2 linked regions of the Arabidopsis thaliana genome follow. Each later gene encodes a partner of the first gene's protein in a complex. Each region holds a gene or a part of one and is shown in the gene's direction. Other genes may lie near its edges.

Region 1 (7,876 bases):
ACCAAATTGAATTACAAAAATGATCTATGCATACTTAACTATAATAACGCTTTTAAGCTTGAATAACTCGATTTAGCAGAAATGAATAGTTTAATTGTCCGTTGGAGTTGCAATCGCATTGGACATCAAGTTCATCTCTTTCGCTTCTCACTATCTAATCTTTGTCAAAGTAATTAACCAGAAGCTTCAAGTCAAAGAACTTCAAGGGATTTTATACGATATCTTATCTCTATCATCTACTTTTATTTCTTCTTCTTTCAATTTCATCTCTCGCAATCAAAATCGTCAAGCGAATGCGAAAGAGATCTTACTCATGTGTGTTAACCCCTAAATTATTATTAATCGAATAAGATCTTGTCCAAAAATGTTATCTTTTTTGTTGTCCGTCGCTATTTCTGTTTAGTTCGCCAAGAATTTGTCATTGTCTTTACGGTCTTTATCATTAAATTAATTATAGTATTATAATCTTTAATTACTTAATTTTGAGCGTATAAATCTCTACTAAATGTTTATGAATATTTGATTCATTACCAATTTTAACTTGAAATCATGCTAATTTTATACTTTTAACCAAAAAAAATCATGCTAGTTTTATCAATTTCCCCTAATTTATTTGCGATTTGTTACATACATATAGAAAATAATAATACATTTTTTTTAGTGTTGTGGACCACGTCCTCTAGTTTGGTCGTCGAGTTCTGACTTTTTCATCACAAAGATAAACATCTCAAACAAAAAGCTCACACATGACCCAAGAACCCTAGAGAGAAGAAGAAGAGGAATGAGAGAATTCATCCTCGATTTTGAAGACATCGCCGAAGGATTTTGTTGGTACTTTCTTCTTCTCTTTGACTTTCTCTCTGACTCCATCATCTCAATTTCTCTCTTCTTCTTTGCTCTAATCACAGACTTCTCTTCTTTCCTCTTCTGTCTCAATTTGATTTCTTAAAAAAACAAAAAAAAAGATGGGTTTAATCAAGAACACAGTTCATTACTGTTGTGTCTCAAGAGACAATCAGATTCTTTACTCTTACAACGGTGGAGACCAAACCAACGAGAGTCTTGCTGCTCTGTGTTTAGAAAAGTCTCCTCCTTTTCATACTTGGTACTTTGAAACTATTGGTAAAAGAAGATTTGGGTTTTTAATTGGAGATGGGTTTGTTTATTTCGCCATTGTTGATGAGGTTTTGAAGAGATCTAGTGTTCTTAAGTTTCTTGAACATTTGAGAGATGAATTTAAGAAAGCTGCTAGGGAGAATTCTAGAGGAAGTTTTACTGCTATGATTGGTTCTATTAATGTTGAAGATCAGCTTGTTCCTGTTGTTACTAGACTTATAGCTTCTCTTGAACGTGTTGCTGAGAGTAGTAGTAACAATGAATTGAAGAGTAGTAATCTTGGTGAACAAAGCGAAGGTTCGAATTCTACTAAAGCTCCGTTGTTGGGGAGGTTAAGTAAGCAAGAGAAGAAGAAAGGGAAAGATCATGTGATTGAGCTTGAGGAACACAGGAAGTCTAATGATAGAGGGAACATAACCGATGATTCAGCGGGAGCTGGAACGTCGTTGGAGAAGGAGTGTGTGTCGAGTAGTGGACGTTCTGTTACTCAAAGCTTTGAATGGAAATGGCGGCGGTTAGTTCAGATTGTTCTTGCTATTGATGCAGCTATTTGCTTGACACTGTTTGGTATTTGGTTGGCTATATGTCGGGGTATCGAGTGTACACGTTCGTGATTGTGCAGACAGAAAATCGGATAAACAGAGTCGATTCTTTACATTCCCTTGTGCATTCCAATAGGCAAAAAATATGTTGATTGTAATGTGAAGCATTCTTAAGTTATAATTTGGCTTATGTATTGCTTTAGTCACAGCTTTGAAATATGTACAGTCGGATTCTAGATTCTGTTCAGTGTTCTTTGTGACTTCACGATACAGTAACGTCCATCTTTATATGATTTAAATTGTTTGAGCTTCAACTTCAAACTCAATCCTCTTTCAAGTTCCCTAAGTAAGGCCCTCACTAGCAAAGAAGCTGGCTTTGAGATGCATAAGGCTTTACCAACAAGTGTATTGATTGTATGATTCGTTCCAACAAGTGTATTGCCACTGCAGTTCTTGTTGTTACCGATCAACAAAATGGGAAGTAAAAAATGGTAGGTAGATAGGAACCGATCCGAAAAAAGTTCCGAAACCGAACTGAACAGTCACAAAATCCGAACGGATAATGAATTCACCTACCCAAATTACTTCAGCCGAATCCGATTCCGAATCAAAAACCGAATAAATATCCGCTAATCCGAAATAAAATTATATCTATCTAAAAATATTAGTTACAGGTTTATACCCAAAAATTTCTAAATAACAAAAATATTAGTTACAGGTTTATACGTCCGAATTTTTAAGTTATATTTGTTACAATTATACAATTTTTTTTGCAAAATTAAACCAATTTTATTAAAACGGAACAATATATATTTTTTTTTCTCAAAAACCGATCCGAATCCGACACTATCCGAACCGAAACCAAACCGAATAGTCATAAAACCCGACCGGATAATAAACTTTCCCATCTGAATCCGAAAATCCGAACCGAATCCGATCCAAAATCCGATCCAAAATGTGAATGTCCATACTTAAGCTCCGACTAAGCAAAGCAATACAACAAGAGAAATTGTACAAAGAGGAAGTAGTACCGATAAGTGCCAATGACCCAATTTTGCAACTATTGGGCCATTTTCAAACACCAATATCAGGCCCATTAACAGATTGAGAGAAACCAACCTCCCAAAAGAGAAAAATCAACAGAACCAAAACAAAGCCACAGTATCTCTCTCTCTCTCTCTCTCACTCACATCGTCTCCTCCATTTTCACCACTAAAACCAGACCAAAAACCTTCCTTTATTCGTGCCCTTCTGGGCCAACAAATGTTCACAAGCGGTAACGTCACCGCTCGGGTCTTCGAACGTCAGATTCGAACTCCTCCTCCCGGCGCTTCCGTCAGTCCCCAAATCTCTCTCTCTGTCTCAATCTCTCAATCTCAATCTCTCTTTTGCTTATCTCTTTACCTTCAATGATAGGTAAATCGTGCAAGACACTTCTACGAAAACCTAGTCCCAAGCTACACACTCTACGATGTCGAATCTCCCGATCACTGTTTCCGCAAATTCACAGAAGACGGACTCTTCCTCATTAGTTTCAGCCGTAACCATCAAGAACTCATAGTCTATCGTCCTTCTTGGCTCACTTACTCCACAACCGATGATTCCACAACCACCCTACCTCCTCTACCTCGCCGTGCTTCGAAATTCGACAGCTTTTTCACTCAACTCTACTCAGTCAATCTCGCTTCTTCTAACGAACTCATCTGCAAAGACTTCTTCCTCTATCACCAAACTCGTCGTTTCGGTCTTTTCGCTACTTCAACAGCTCAGATCCATGATTCATCATCTCCTTCTAATGACGCTGTTCCTGGTGTTCCTTCCATTGATAAGATTACTTTCGTACTTCTTCGATTAGATGATGGTGTTGTTCTTGATGAGAGGGTTTTTCTTCATGATTTCGTTAATCTGGCTCATAATATGGGTGTGTTTCTTTATGATGATCTTTTAGCGATTTTGTCGTTGCGTTATCAGAGGATTCATCTTCTTCAGATTAGAGATTCTGGTCATCTTGTTGATGCTCGTGCTATTGGTTACTTTTGTCGTGAAGATGATGAGCTTTTCCTCAATTCTAGCTCTCAGGTAAGCAAAGTTTTTACAGTATCTTTCTCTGGAGTAGATAAAGTTTTGAGCTTTGTGAGGTTTTTGATTGTTAGGCAATGATGAGTCAAGATAAGAGTAAACAGCAGAGTTTATCTGGGAGTAAGGAAGATGATACTGGAGAGAATGGGTTGCGTCATAGTCTAAGTCAGCCAAGTGGTTCGAATTCGTTTCTTAGTGGTGTTAAGCAACGGTTACTTTCTTTTATCTTCAGGGAGATTTGGAATGAAGAATCAGATAACGTAATGGTTCGTTGTTCTTCAACTTCTCTTATCACTTTATGAAATTGCTCTGAGTTTCACAATCTTGTACATTAAATGGGTTATGTTTGTGTACTGCTTGGCTTCCTCTGTTAGATGTTGAGTAGGATAACAGAAGTTTAAGGTTTAGGATTGATGCAGTTGACAGTGACTTCTTAGTTGATGCAGCTTATCATATACATGCTCTTTGCATTTTCGACCTTTCGTTGTAGTTTGCAATGTGTGTCGTATTGAAACACTACATCTTGGATACGAACTAATCGAAAGGCACTATTTGATTTGACAGAGAGTTCAAAGTCTTAAGAAGAAGTTTTATTTCCATTTCCAGGATTATGTCGACTTGATTATATGGAAGGTAATCAATTATGTGTTTCTGCTTTTGGAATCTGTGTCAAGTGTTTGGATTTGATGGTGAAAAAAACTAATCTTTTGTGTATTCTTGATGTCCAGGTTCAGTTTTTGGATCGACAACACCTGCTAATCAAATTTGGAAGTGTAGACGGTGGGGTAAGCTCTCTATAATACAAATTCATGGTTACATTGAACTGATACTGTCATTTTCAGAAATTACAATTTGATTGATTAGACTTATGATTGTTGATGGGTTACTCAGGTAACAAGAAGTGCTGATCATCATCCAGCTTTCTTCGCGGTGTATAATATGGAGACTACTGACATTGTAGCATTCTATCAGGTAAAATGGATGTCATTTTGGCCAGTTATTTTGTGGAATTTGCATCTACTTATAACTTGACTTAGTACATTACTATATGCAGAACTCAGCAGAAGATCTTTACCAATTATTTGAGCAGTTCAGTGATCACTTTACAGTATCAAGTAGTACACCGTTCATGAACTTTGTAACATCGCATTCTAACAACGTCTATGCCCTTGAACAACTAAAATACACGAAGAACAAATCAAACAGTTTTTCTCAGGTAAGTACATCTCTGTATTTCGATATGTTGGTTTTTATGAGAGAGTTGAATCTAATCAATTTTTCTATACAGTTTGTGAAGAAGATGTTACTCTCTTTGCCTTTCAGTTGTCAGTCACAAAGTCCCTCCCCATATTTCGACCAGTCTCTCTTCCGGTTCGATGAAAAGGTAACCATTCTATAAACCCTTATTCTCTTCAACTTCAGGATTGAGTTAAGTTAATTTCGGATATGGTTACAGTTAATATCCGCAGCAGATAGGCATAGGCAATCCTCAGACAACCCAATCAAGTTCATATCTCGAAGGCAACCGCAAACCCTGAAATTCAAGATAAAACCAGGTTGGTTGTTTTAGTTGTTTAGATATTAAGATGACGAAAACCCAAACCGCACGGAACATGATTTAACGTTAGGATTGTCTAATGGTGAACAGGACCAGAGTGTGGAACTGCAGATGGTCGAAGCAAGAAGATATGTTCATTCTTGTTCCATCCTCATTTACCACTTGCCATCTCTATTCAACAAACACTTTTCATGCCACCTTCTGTCGTCAATATCCATTTTAGGCGATGACTCTTTTTGGTTTCTATCAGTCTAGTAGTCTTCCTACATGTTGTAATCTATTGTTTGTAACAAAAGTTCAGTAAAACCTCTATAAATTCCGAGTTGGGCCGATGTAAAAATTAACAAACTTCGATAAAATAATAATATAATAATCTTTTGGAAAGCTTTATATAAAAATATGGTTTTAATGTCTTTTAAGTATTGAATCTTGTTAGAGTTTGTCTCTAACTTTTATTCTATCAAACAATTGTTTTGTCTCTAAGTCTGATTGAATTATGTTGGGGTTTTCAATTGTCAAATTATAGAATCGTTTATAACTTTGTAAAAAAATTAGCCATAATGTTTTGTAAGTTTCTAATTTCTTAGTATGCATCATTTTCAATTATAGTTTTTGTGATTTATTGTCAAATGAGCTTTTTAAATATTAAATTTTCAATTATATTACTATAAAATTTATAACATCTCATAGTTTCTAAAATTTGAAAAATTAAAACAAATATCTCTATAAATTAATAATTTAAATTTAAATTAATATATTAATTATAGATAAATTATTAATCACTATAATTAATAAAATATCATACTTCCATCTTTATTAATTTATAGAGGTTTTACTGTATCTCAAAACACATAATACATGCAAAAAGTGTTTGAATCTTAAAAAGGAAGAAATAACTAGGAGGTGTTATTGGTTCCTAACTAAAAAGAAATTTTGAAGACTTTAATAATATCATATAAAGTAAATAAATGAAAGATTCTAAACTATAAACTATTTGTAGAGAGTTTTCAATAATATTATTGATTAGTTTTTCACAAGGTTCAAAAAATCGGCCTAGGCGGCCCGATTTTAGTGAAATCGGTGAATCAAATAGGGTTTTCGGTTTAAGCGTTCAAAATCAGTATTAACCGGTCAAATCGGCCAGTTTAGTATATGTAAATATGATCGTTTTGAATAAGTGAAAAATAAAGTAAAAGTACTTGATTACTAAACTTGTAAGTTAGCAATTAATTATTCTCAAATTTTCAGAATAAGTTAATTTAGTTTTCATAGAAATTTTGTGTGAATATACATATATTATAAATTCAAATAGGTAATATTTTCAACATTTCATATATTTTAACCAATGTTTTGTTATAAAATTATGAAAATGTTTAATAAATTTGTAAAATGATGTGCTAACGCCTAGGCTTTGCCTAGCCCCCGATTAATTGATCTAGGCGTTAGGCCCCTATCGAACGCCTAACAATTTTTTGAACATTGGTTTTTTACAATCTTATAAAGTTTCCAAACAATCTCTATATTTTAATGATATTTTCATGACTTTATTTTGTGAAACAAATGGTAGAAAGTCATAAACCAATTACAAAACAATTTAATTCATCTACAATAGTAGATTCTTTTGTTTTAATTGAATAAAACAAAAAAAATTAATGACTTTATGAAAGTATTAATCCATTAACTCCAGATTTGTGAAGATTTTAGATTACTTTTCACAAATCTTAAACTAATAATACAAAACTTTAACAAATTTTTCAAAAAATCTTATTGAATAACAACATATTCTACATAACATTTTAAGTCACTAAAACTCTATTTAAATCATAAACCAATAACATACCTTTAGTATATATGTTAACAACAAAACAAAGAAATTGTAATTTTGACCGACAGTTGTAACTTACTCACAAATATATATATTTGTAGATCTCATAAGTCATAACTTTCATCTCCGAACTCTAGTTTCTTTGGATTCAAGGTATCATAAAAACCTAGTCTGTCTTTAAAGCTTATGACGAAGAGAAACATAGTAGATCTTCCCGAGGATTTGGTAATGGAGATACTCGCGAGGGTTCCGACCGTAACTTTGGTCCGATTACAATCTACATCCAAAAGATGGAACGTTCTGATCGAAGATAAGAGATTTGCTGAGCAGCACTTTACTAATGCACCAAGGCACTCTCTGCTTATCATGTTGATGACCTTTAGGGTTTATCTCGTGAGCGTCGATCTTCATACAATTCACAACAACAAGGTAAACATAATAAGTCAACTTCGCCTGAAAGATCCTCTTTCAAATTTTTTAGAAGAAGTTGATATATGCAACGTCTTTCATTGCGACGGCTTCTTGCTATGCACCACCGTAGACAATAGACTCGTTGTTTCGAATCCCTGTTCTCGTGATACTAAGTGGATCCAACCAAGAAATTTCTACAAGAAATTCGATATATTTGCTCTCGGTAAATCATCATGCAACAAGTACAAAATCATGAGGATGGATCAATTTTATCCTGATAGGCCAGAATTTATGAACTACGAAATCTATGACTTTAACTCTAATTCGTGGAGAGTTGTTGGTAAG
Region 2 (6,682 bases), on another chromosome or scaffold:
CCGAGTGAATCTAGAACCAGGCAAGCTCCAATTAGGTACTTTTGTATATAATTTCTTGATTTTGCATCTGGGTGTTTCATTGTCTCACATTGCTGTCTTCGCTAGCTTTTCATTGTATCTTCCACATTCTTCCTTGCTCTGCAAATCCAGTTTCTAGAGCACATGTCTGAAAGAACGAAAACGACAAAAGAGTTAAAGATTAAAAATTGTGTCTTTTCGAATGCTCGATGAGTTTGTTTACTGTTTCTCCCCTTCTGTTCTCAGAACGTTGCTTAGTTTCCAGACCCCATTAGTTTACTTCTGTCGGAAATCCTCTGTTTTCTTAATAGCCATGAGATAGTTATCTAAAATTGCTTTCTTGAATTCACCAAAAAAAAAAGTTGCTTACTTATTTTTAGGGTTCTTACCATATTTGACCAATTATAACTCTCCTGAAAAGATTAAAAAAAAACAACAGTTTTTTCTGACTTCAGAGTGAGAAATCTACAATCCATTGTTATATTAGGTTTCAAATTTCTGTTAAAATCATTAGCATATGGCTCAATTTTGAACCTTTTCAGAGTTTTTGTAGGTTTAAGGTTTTCAAGCACTCTGTTTCCAATGCTGCTTCCGAGATGGTTTGCAGAAGCGTTGTTGCTCCTACTTTCAATTCTTGCCTGTTCAAACGGTAAATTTCACATGTTATATCTATCTCTAAGTTTACTTTTTTATTACTTGGTGAAGTTCATAGACTCTCAATGTTAATCTGATTCTTTATACAGCTGCATTTATCGGTGTAAACATTGGCACTGATCTCACCAACATGCCACCGCCTTCAGACATTGTAACACTTCTCAAATCACAACAAATCACACACGTCCGTCTCTATGATGCTAATAGCCATATGCTCAAAGCATTTGCCAACACTAGCATCGAAGTTATGGTCGGTGTAACCAATGAAGAAATCCTCAAAATCGGACGGTTTCCTTCAGCTGCAGCTGCTTGGGTTAACAAAAACGTCGCTGCTTATATTCCTTCAACTAATATAACCGCCATTGCTGTTGGTAGTGAGGTTCTCACCACGATTCCTCACGTGGCGCCGATTCTCGCCTCTGCTCTTAACAACATTCACAAGGCTCTTGTGGCTTCCAATCTCAACTTTAAGGTCAAAGTCTCCAGCCCTATGTCTATGGATATAATGCCTAAACCGTTTCCTCCATCTACATCTACCTTTAGCCCGTCGTGGAACACCACGGTTTACCAGCTTCTTCAGTTTTTGAAGAACACTGGTTCCTTTTTCATGTTAAACGCGTATCCTTACTACGGTTACACAACCGCTAATGGGATTTTCCCGCTTGATTACGCTTTGTTCAAGCAGCTTTCTCCGGTGAAGCAGATTGTTGATCCCAACACGCTTTTACATTACAACAGCATGTTTGATGCTATGGTTGATGCTGCTTACTACTCCATGGAAGCTTTGAATTTCTCCAAGATTCCTGTTGTAGTCACGGAAACAGGCTGGCCTTCGTCTGGTGGAAGCGATGAAGCGGCTGCAACAGTCGCTAATGCGGAGACATTCAACACTAACTTGATCAAGAGAGTGCTGAACAACTCAGGTCCTCCTAGTCAACCAGACATACCGATAAACACTTACATCTACGAGCTGTACAATGAAGACAAGCGGTCAGGACCAGTCTCTGAAAGAAACTGGGGGATTTTGTTTCCAAATGGGACCTCGGTTTACCCTCTGAGTTTGAGTGGTGGCTCTAGCTCCGCAGCTCTAAACGGTTCATCGATGTTCTGCGTGGCTAAAGCAGATGCTGATGATGATAAGTTGGTTGACGGTTTGAATTGGGCGTGTGGTCAAGGCCGAGCTAACTGCGCTGCCATTCAACCGGGCCAACCTTGCTACCTCCCTAACGATGTTAAGAGCCATGCTTCTTTTGCTTTCAATGACTATTACCAGAAGATGAAAAGTGCAGGTGGAACTTGTGACTTTGATGGTACGGCTATCACTACGACTAGAGATCCTAGTAAGTTTTTCTCATTTCCTCTGATCTATGTGTTGCAATAATTCTATGTTTTCAAGTTGTTTCCTCAGAGTAAATCTCAAATTCGATGGCTTGTGTGTTTGCAGGCTATAGAACATGTGCATATACGGGAAGGTAACGATACTAAATTTATGTCTTGTTAAGTTTTGAAAATGAAATCTGCTCCTAACTCTTTGAAATCATTTTCCATTTATCTCAGCTTAAACGCAAACGCTACTAATGGAAACTTTCCTCCGGATGCGTTAGGACCCGCAAGTCCATTGGGAGGAAACGCAAACGCACGTATCATCTTTAGCTACCATCTTCCCATATTGGCACCGTTAGCTCTCACTCTACTACAACTGTTGCTTCAGCATGACCGCCTTTTGTAGAACGTTTGCCAAAAAGCGGTTTTGTAGTAACCGGGGAAGTCTACCTGTGGCTTGGATTGGATTTCTTACGGTTACCGGTAGTTACTGTGTACTTTGTTTTTAGTGTAAGTGTAACTAGAGACTAAAGAGGGCTCACAAGTTCCCATTCTTTTTTTTGTCTTCATCTTTGAACTAAAATATTCGAATTAGAGTGATTTAAATTTCATATTCAAATGAATCAGTGCATTGTAGGAGAGTTTACGTAAATCATGTTATTCATAAAAATTGACAGAGTAAATTTGATTATGTTTAAACAAAAATTAAATTGATTTTGGATAATTTCAATTTTCTTTCCAAAATGTGTGCCTTTTTCAAGAACTTTGAATAATCATTTATCAAATTATTAAGGATTCACGTGGTTATAACATGATCACATTACACAAAAGGACAAGAATATTCGATAATTCAACTTAAATAAATTTGGTTGTCAAAATGATTACAAATTTATTGATAGTGATTAGTGAGAGAAAATAAAAATAAAAAATACATGTTACAAAATTAATCTCCACGTCAGCGATTACTTTATTTGTTTAATTGATCGGACAAAAACGCGGCGTTTCGAAATCTTTTCCCGATGGAGTGCGAGCGAAACGATCAAGTGGTGGATTGGATAAGCAGAGAGTATCGGAAGACGACGACGACGGGAGATGATGACACCTGGCGGAAGCGGGAGGTTGAGACCGTTACCGACGGCGATGTACGCCGGATATTCAGGAACGGCGTCGTCTTGGGTAGCGAAGACTTCAGTTTCTGCGTCAGGGAAGAGGATACAGAGGGAGATGGCTGAGCTTAACATTGATCCACCTCCTGATTGCTCAGCTGGTCCAAAAGGAGATAATCTCTACCATTGGATCGCCACCATCATTGGTCCTTCGGGTTTAATTCTGATACTCTCTTTGAATATTTGTAGATAATCCGATTGAAAATTTGTTAGGTTTTCAAGTCTTTGAATTTGGTGTTTATGGAACTTTTGCAGGAACTCCCTATGAAGGAGGGATCTTTTTCCTGGATATAATTTTCCCATCTGATTATCCATTCAAGCCACCTAAGGTATGATCATGGATTCTTTGGTTAACACATTTTGGGAGCTTTACTGATTTAGCTGGTAATGATTTAAGGTTTAGAAGTTTTGATTTCTAATGATGATCTCTTTAGGAAGAACTATTTAGTGAATATCAATGAGTCTTCAACTGCATCACATTGAAACAGAGATCATCTAGTGTCTCAGACTCTCAGTGTCTAGCATATTATGTAGTTTTATTGCTTTCAACATAGTCTTAGGATACATTTTGTAGCAAATTTCTTGAAGTTTTGGGTCTAGTGATAGTCAAGCTATAGGTACTAATCTAGAGCTTGCACTTTTATTACATCTGTCTTTTTGGTTAAGTTGGTGAGGTTGATTTGCAGTTGGTGTTCAAGACTCGGATTTACCATTGCAATGTTGATACTGCGGGAGATTTAAGTGTGAACATTCTAAGAGATAGTTGGAGTCCAGCCCTTACAATCACTAAAGTCTTACAAGCCATCAGATCTATCTTCTTAAAACCTGAACCCTGTAAGTTTCTATTCTACTCTCAGGCTTCAGATCAGACCATTTCAAGTCCTCTGATGAAATGACCAGCTCATGTCAGATCTACCTAAGAGAACGTTTTTAAAAAAAAGTTTGTGATGAGTTTTGGCCAACAAACATAATAGATGTCCGCATCTAACTACTGTATTTAACTTCCATAGTAAATCTCTATTGTTCTTATTCTTTTTGCTTCTTCTTCATCGACCAGATAGTCCAGCTTTACCGGTGATTGCACGGCTCTACTTGACAGATAGAGAAAAGCATGACGAGGTAGCCAAAGAATGGACATTGCGATTTGCCAAGTGAGATCTTCAATACGAGGAAAAGACAACTGATGTATTATAAATACACCTAGTTCTTTGGTTAGTTAATGGTCATCAATGTACATTCATAAAAGTGGAACCACAATGTTAGATGGCCAAGAAAATTGTTTGCTCAGATAATAGGCAACAATGTGAGGTAGGACCAATCCTCAACAACTCCAATTTATTGAAGGTTATACAATTTAGTGTCAAATCTTTTCGTCAAGGACTCGAAAACCAAAGATCATATATGGTCTGAATATAACTGAGGAATTGTTTCTTTTATAAGAAAACAAGAGCATTTTGTTTTGAAACAAGAATAGTAGGCCATAACTTCTAGAGAAAAGCGATTACAGATGAGATAATTAAACTGAAGAGTATTAGTTGGTACCTAACATGTTCCATAATCTTTATTGATTGATTATCTCCAAAAAGAAAGATCAAACTTTCTATTGAAGACACAAGTGAGACTTGAGAGACCAAATCTACCGGTCAATTCTTTTCGTTCTTTTAACCTAACTCTGTTTAACATAATTATCACAAATGGTCAGTACATATCTATCTACGCATGGTATATATAGAGAATATGTAGAACAGCAGTGTTAAAAAAGAGTAACATATTTTGAGTCTCTGCGACTAATATCTTCATATCGGTACGTTGTAATATTTATCCGTTAATTATACGTGTGTTAGATGTGTTAGTGTATATGCAGATGAATATGTCATTTTATGCATCACATGTATATACTCAATTTGTTTATCTTATTTTTTTATTTAATGTTCCCCTTCGTTGGCATCATATATATTTCTCTTGAAGTTTTGAGTAAAACCTCTAGAGATGTTGGAAGATATATCCAGTATATCGACTATATATAGTATCCAATCTTATGATGACTATGTATCTAACACTAAAATTTTGTTAATCAGAGTCTTAGGTTTACGAATTTTTTGGCAATAAATCATTTTCGTCTAAATTTGGTTGAGCCAGAGACTATCGGTTAGTTAATTATTTTTGCTGCTGTGATGTGAACCGAAGGGTCAAAGAGAAGGTTAGGTCGGAGCAGCATAGTCGCATGCGAAGTTCGTTTTAAGTAAAAAGTAAAAACTTATGTAAATTAAACGTCAATTATTCTAACCGCTAATGTTGGTCTATAATTCAATTTTCCTAGGCTTTAACTAAGGGTAGTTTATATGGCGTAAATGTGGGAACGTGTGAAGAGTCAATGTGAAAACGGCATGGTGTTCTTTTTGGTTTTAAGTAACGAATTCTAGAGGGAGAACGCACGGACGAGAGACTGTGATGAAGTAAGCATATATATACATAAAACTGTGTTAAACAATAAATCTGCATGCATAGGTAAAAAACTATATCTTCGACCAACATTGGTCTTACTATAAGATACGTAAATGTGAACTACGCAACAAACTTTGATTTTCGAACTTATAGTATATCCTCATCGATAAAAAGAACCTATAAGTTTCAACTTATATATACAACTCATGAATTGTGTCTGAAATACTTAAAACAAACATTTTTGAGTTTTAATTTAGTATTACATGAAAATAGAGTTTTATAACCTCAACTCGTGTGGTGACGCAAACACATAATAAACCTATAGGCAACATATATGTTTTTTTTTTCAAACAACATATATGTTATTATCGTACTTTAGTATGTAAACTGTCCGGAATATGTTTAATAGCTTATAAAGTTTAGTGTATTTTTGTTTTCAAGGATATGAAGTTTAACGTTAGCACTTAGCTAGCCTGTATTGTTTACATTAAATAAACTTCTTGAAGAAATTAAACTTAGAAACATATCTAGTACCATAATTTAAGATTGTGAACATGCTTATTAGTTATCTGTATTTGACAAAAGCTTACCACGAGTCTTATTTAACGATAGTGATGATTCATTTATTCGCAATAGATATATCCATATATATAAATAGAGGTTTGTGTACTCAGTTACACTCACAATTTATGGTTTTATAATAATCACACAAATCACCACAAAACAACTTAGTACACATATATGCCAACCTTCTAGATCGCATCTGTGACCCCTTCTTGAAGCATGGTAGATATAGAAGACATCAAGATTCGATCAACTATATATCTTCCTGTATCTAGTCATGTCCTAAGCTAGAAGACGACGCTCCAACAATCCCATCCTTACAATCATCCATCTGCAAAGGTTGAGATATTGGGATAATATTACCAAAAGGATCACCAACATCGTTGATGAGCGAATTAAGAAACGATGAGAACTTGTCGTCGTAGCAGAAACCAAAGTCTTCGTAGCCGTGTTCACCACCAAAGACATTGATACTGTTCTTGCTATCTCCATCCCCGCCATTAACAGTGGTA

Evidence for each region. The genes of interacting proteins can lie anywhere in the genome.
Region 2: DET1 (region 1) and FUS9 share a complex: the UniProt entries of both Arabidopsis thaliana proteins name them as parts of the CDD complex.

The regions. Positions count from the first base shown.
Region 1 is NC_003075.7:6,343,622-6,351,497, forward strand, and holds DET1 (light-mediated development protein 1 / deetiolated1 (DET1)), read left to right. Parts: upstream 1-2,789; 5' UTR 2,790-2,921; coding exon 2,922-2,993; intron 2,994-3,074; coding exon 3,075-3,737; intron 3,738-3,811; coding exon 3,812-4,003; intron 4,004-4,301; coding exon 4,302-4,370; intron 4,371-4,465; coding exon 4,466-4,522; intron 4,523-4,628; coding exon 4,629-4,709; intron 4,710-4,791; coding exon 4,792-4,953; intron 4,954-5,025; coding exon 5,026-5,121; intron 5,122-5,193; coding exon 5,194-5,293; intron 5,294-5,385; coding exon 5,386-5,525; 3' UTR 5,526-5,693; downstream 5,694-7,876. Other genes in the region: AT4G10170 (SNARE-like superfamily protein), read left to right, coding at 966-1,730; AT4G10190 (F-box and associated interaction domains-containing protein), read left to right, coding at 7,307-7,876. UniProt on the Arabidopsis thaliana protein: Component of light signal transduction machinery. Involved in repression of photomorphogenesis in darkness by participating in the CDD complex, a complex probably required to regulate the activity of ubiquitin conjugating enzymes (E2s).
Region 2 is NC_003074.8:4,421,203-4,427,884, reverse strand, and holds FUS9 (Ubiquitin-conjugating enzyme family protein), read left to right. Parts: upstream 1-2,990; 5' UTR 2,991-3,087; coding exon 3,088-3,316; intron 3,317-3,416; coding exon 3,417-3,490; intron 3,491-3,847; coding exon 3,848-3,995; coding exon of another isoform or gene 3,996-4,057; exon of another isoform or gene 4,058-4,218; coding exon 4,219-4,316; 3' UTR 4,317-4,648; downstream 4,649-6,682. Other genes in the region: AT3G13560 (O-Glycosyl hydrolases family 17 protein), read left to right, coding at 601-667, 762-2,012, 2,117-2,144, 2,230-2,401; MYB5 (myb domain protein 5), read right to left, coding at 6,442-6,682. UniProt on the Arabidopsis thaliana protein: Component of light signal transduction machinery. Involved in repression of photomorphogenesis in darkness by participating in the CDD complex, a complex probably required to regulate the activity of ubiquitin conjugating enzymes (E2s).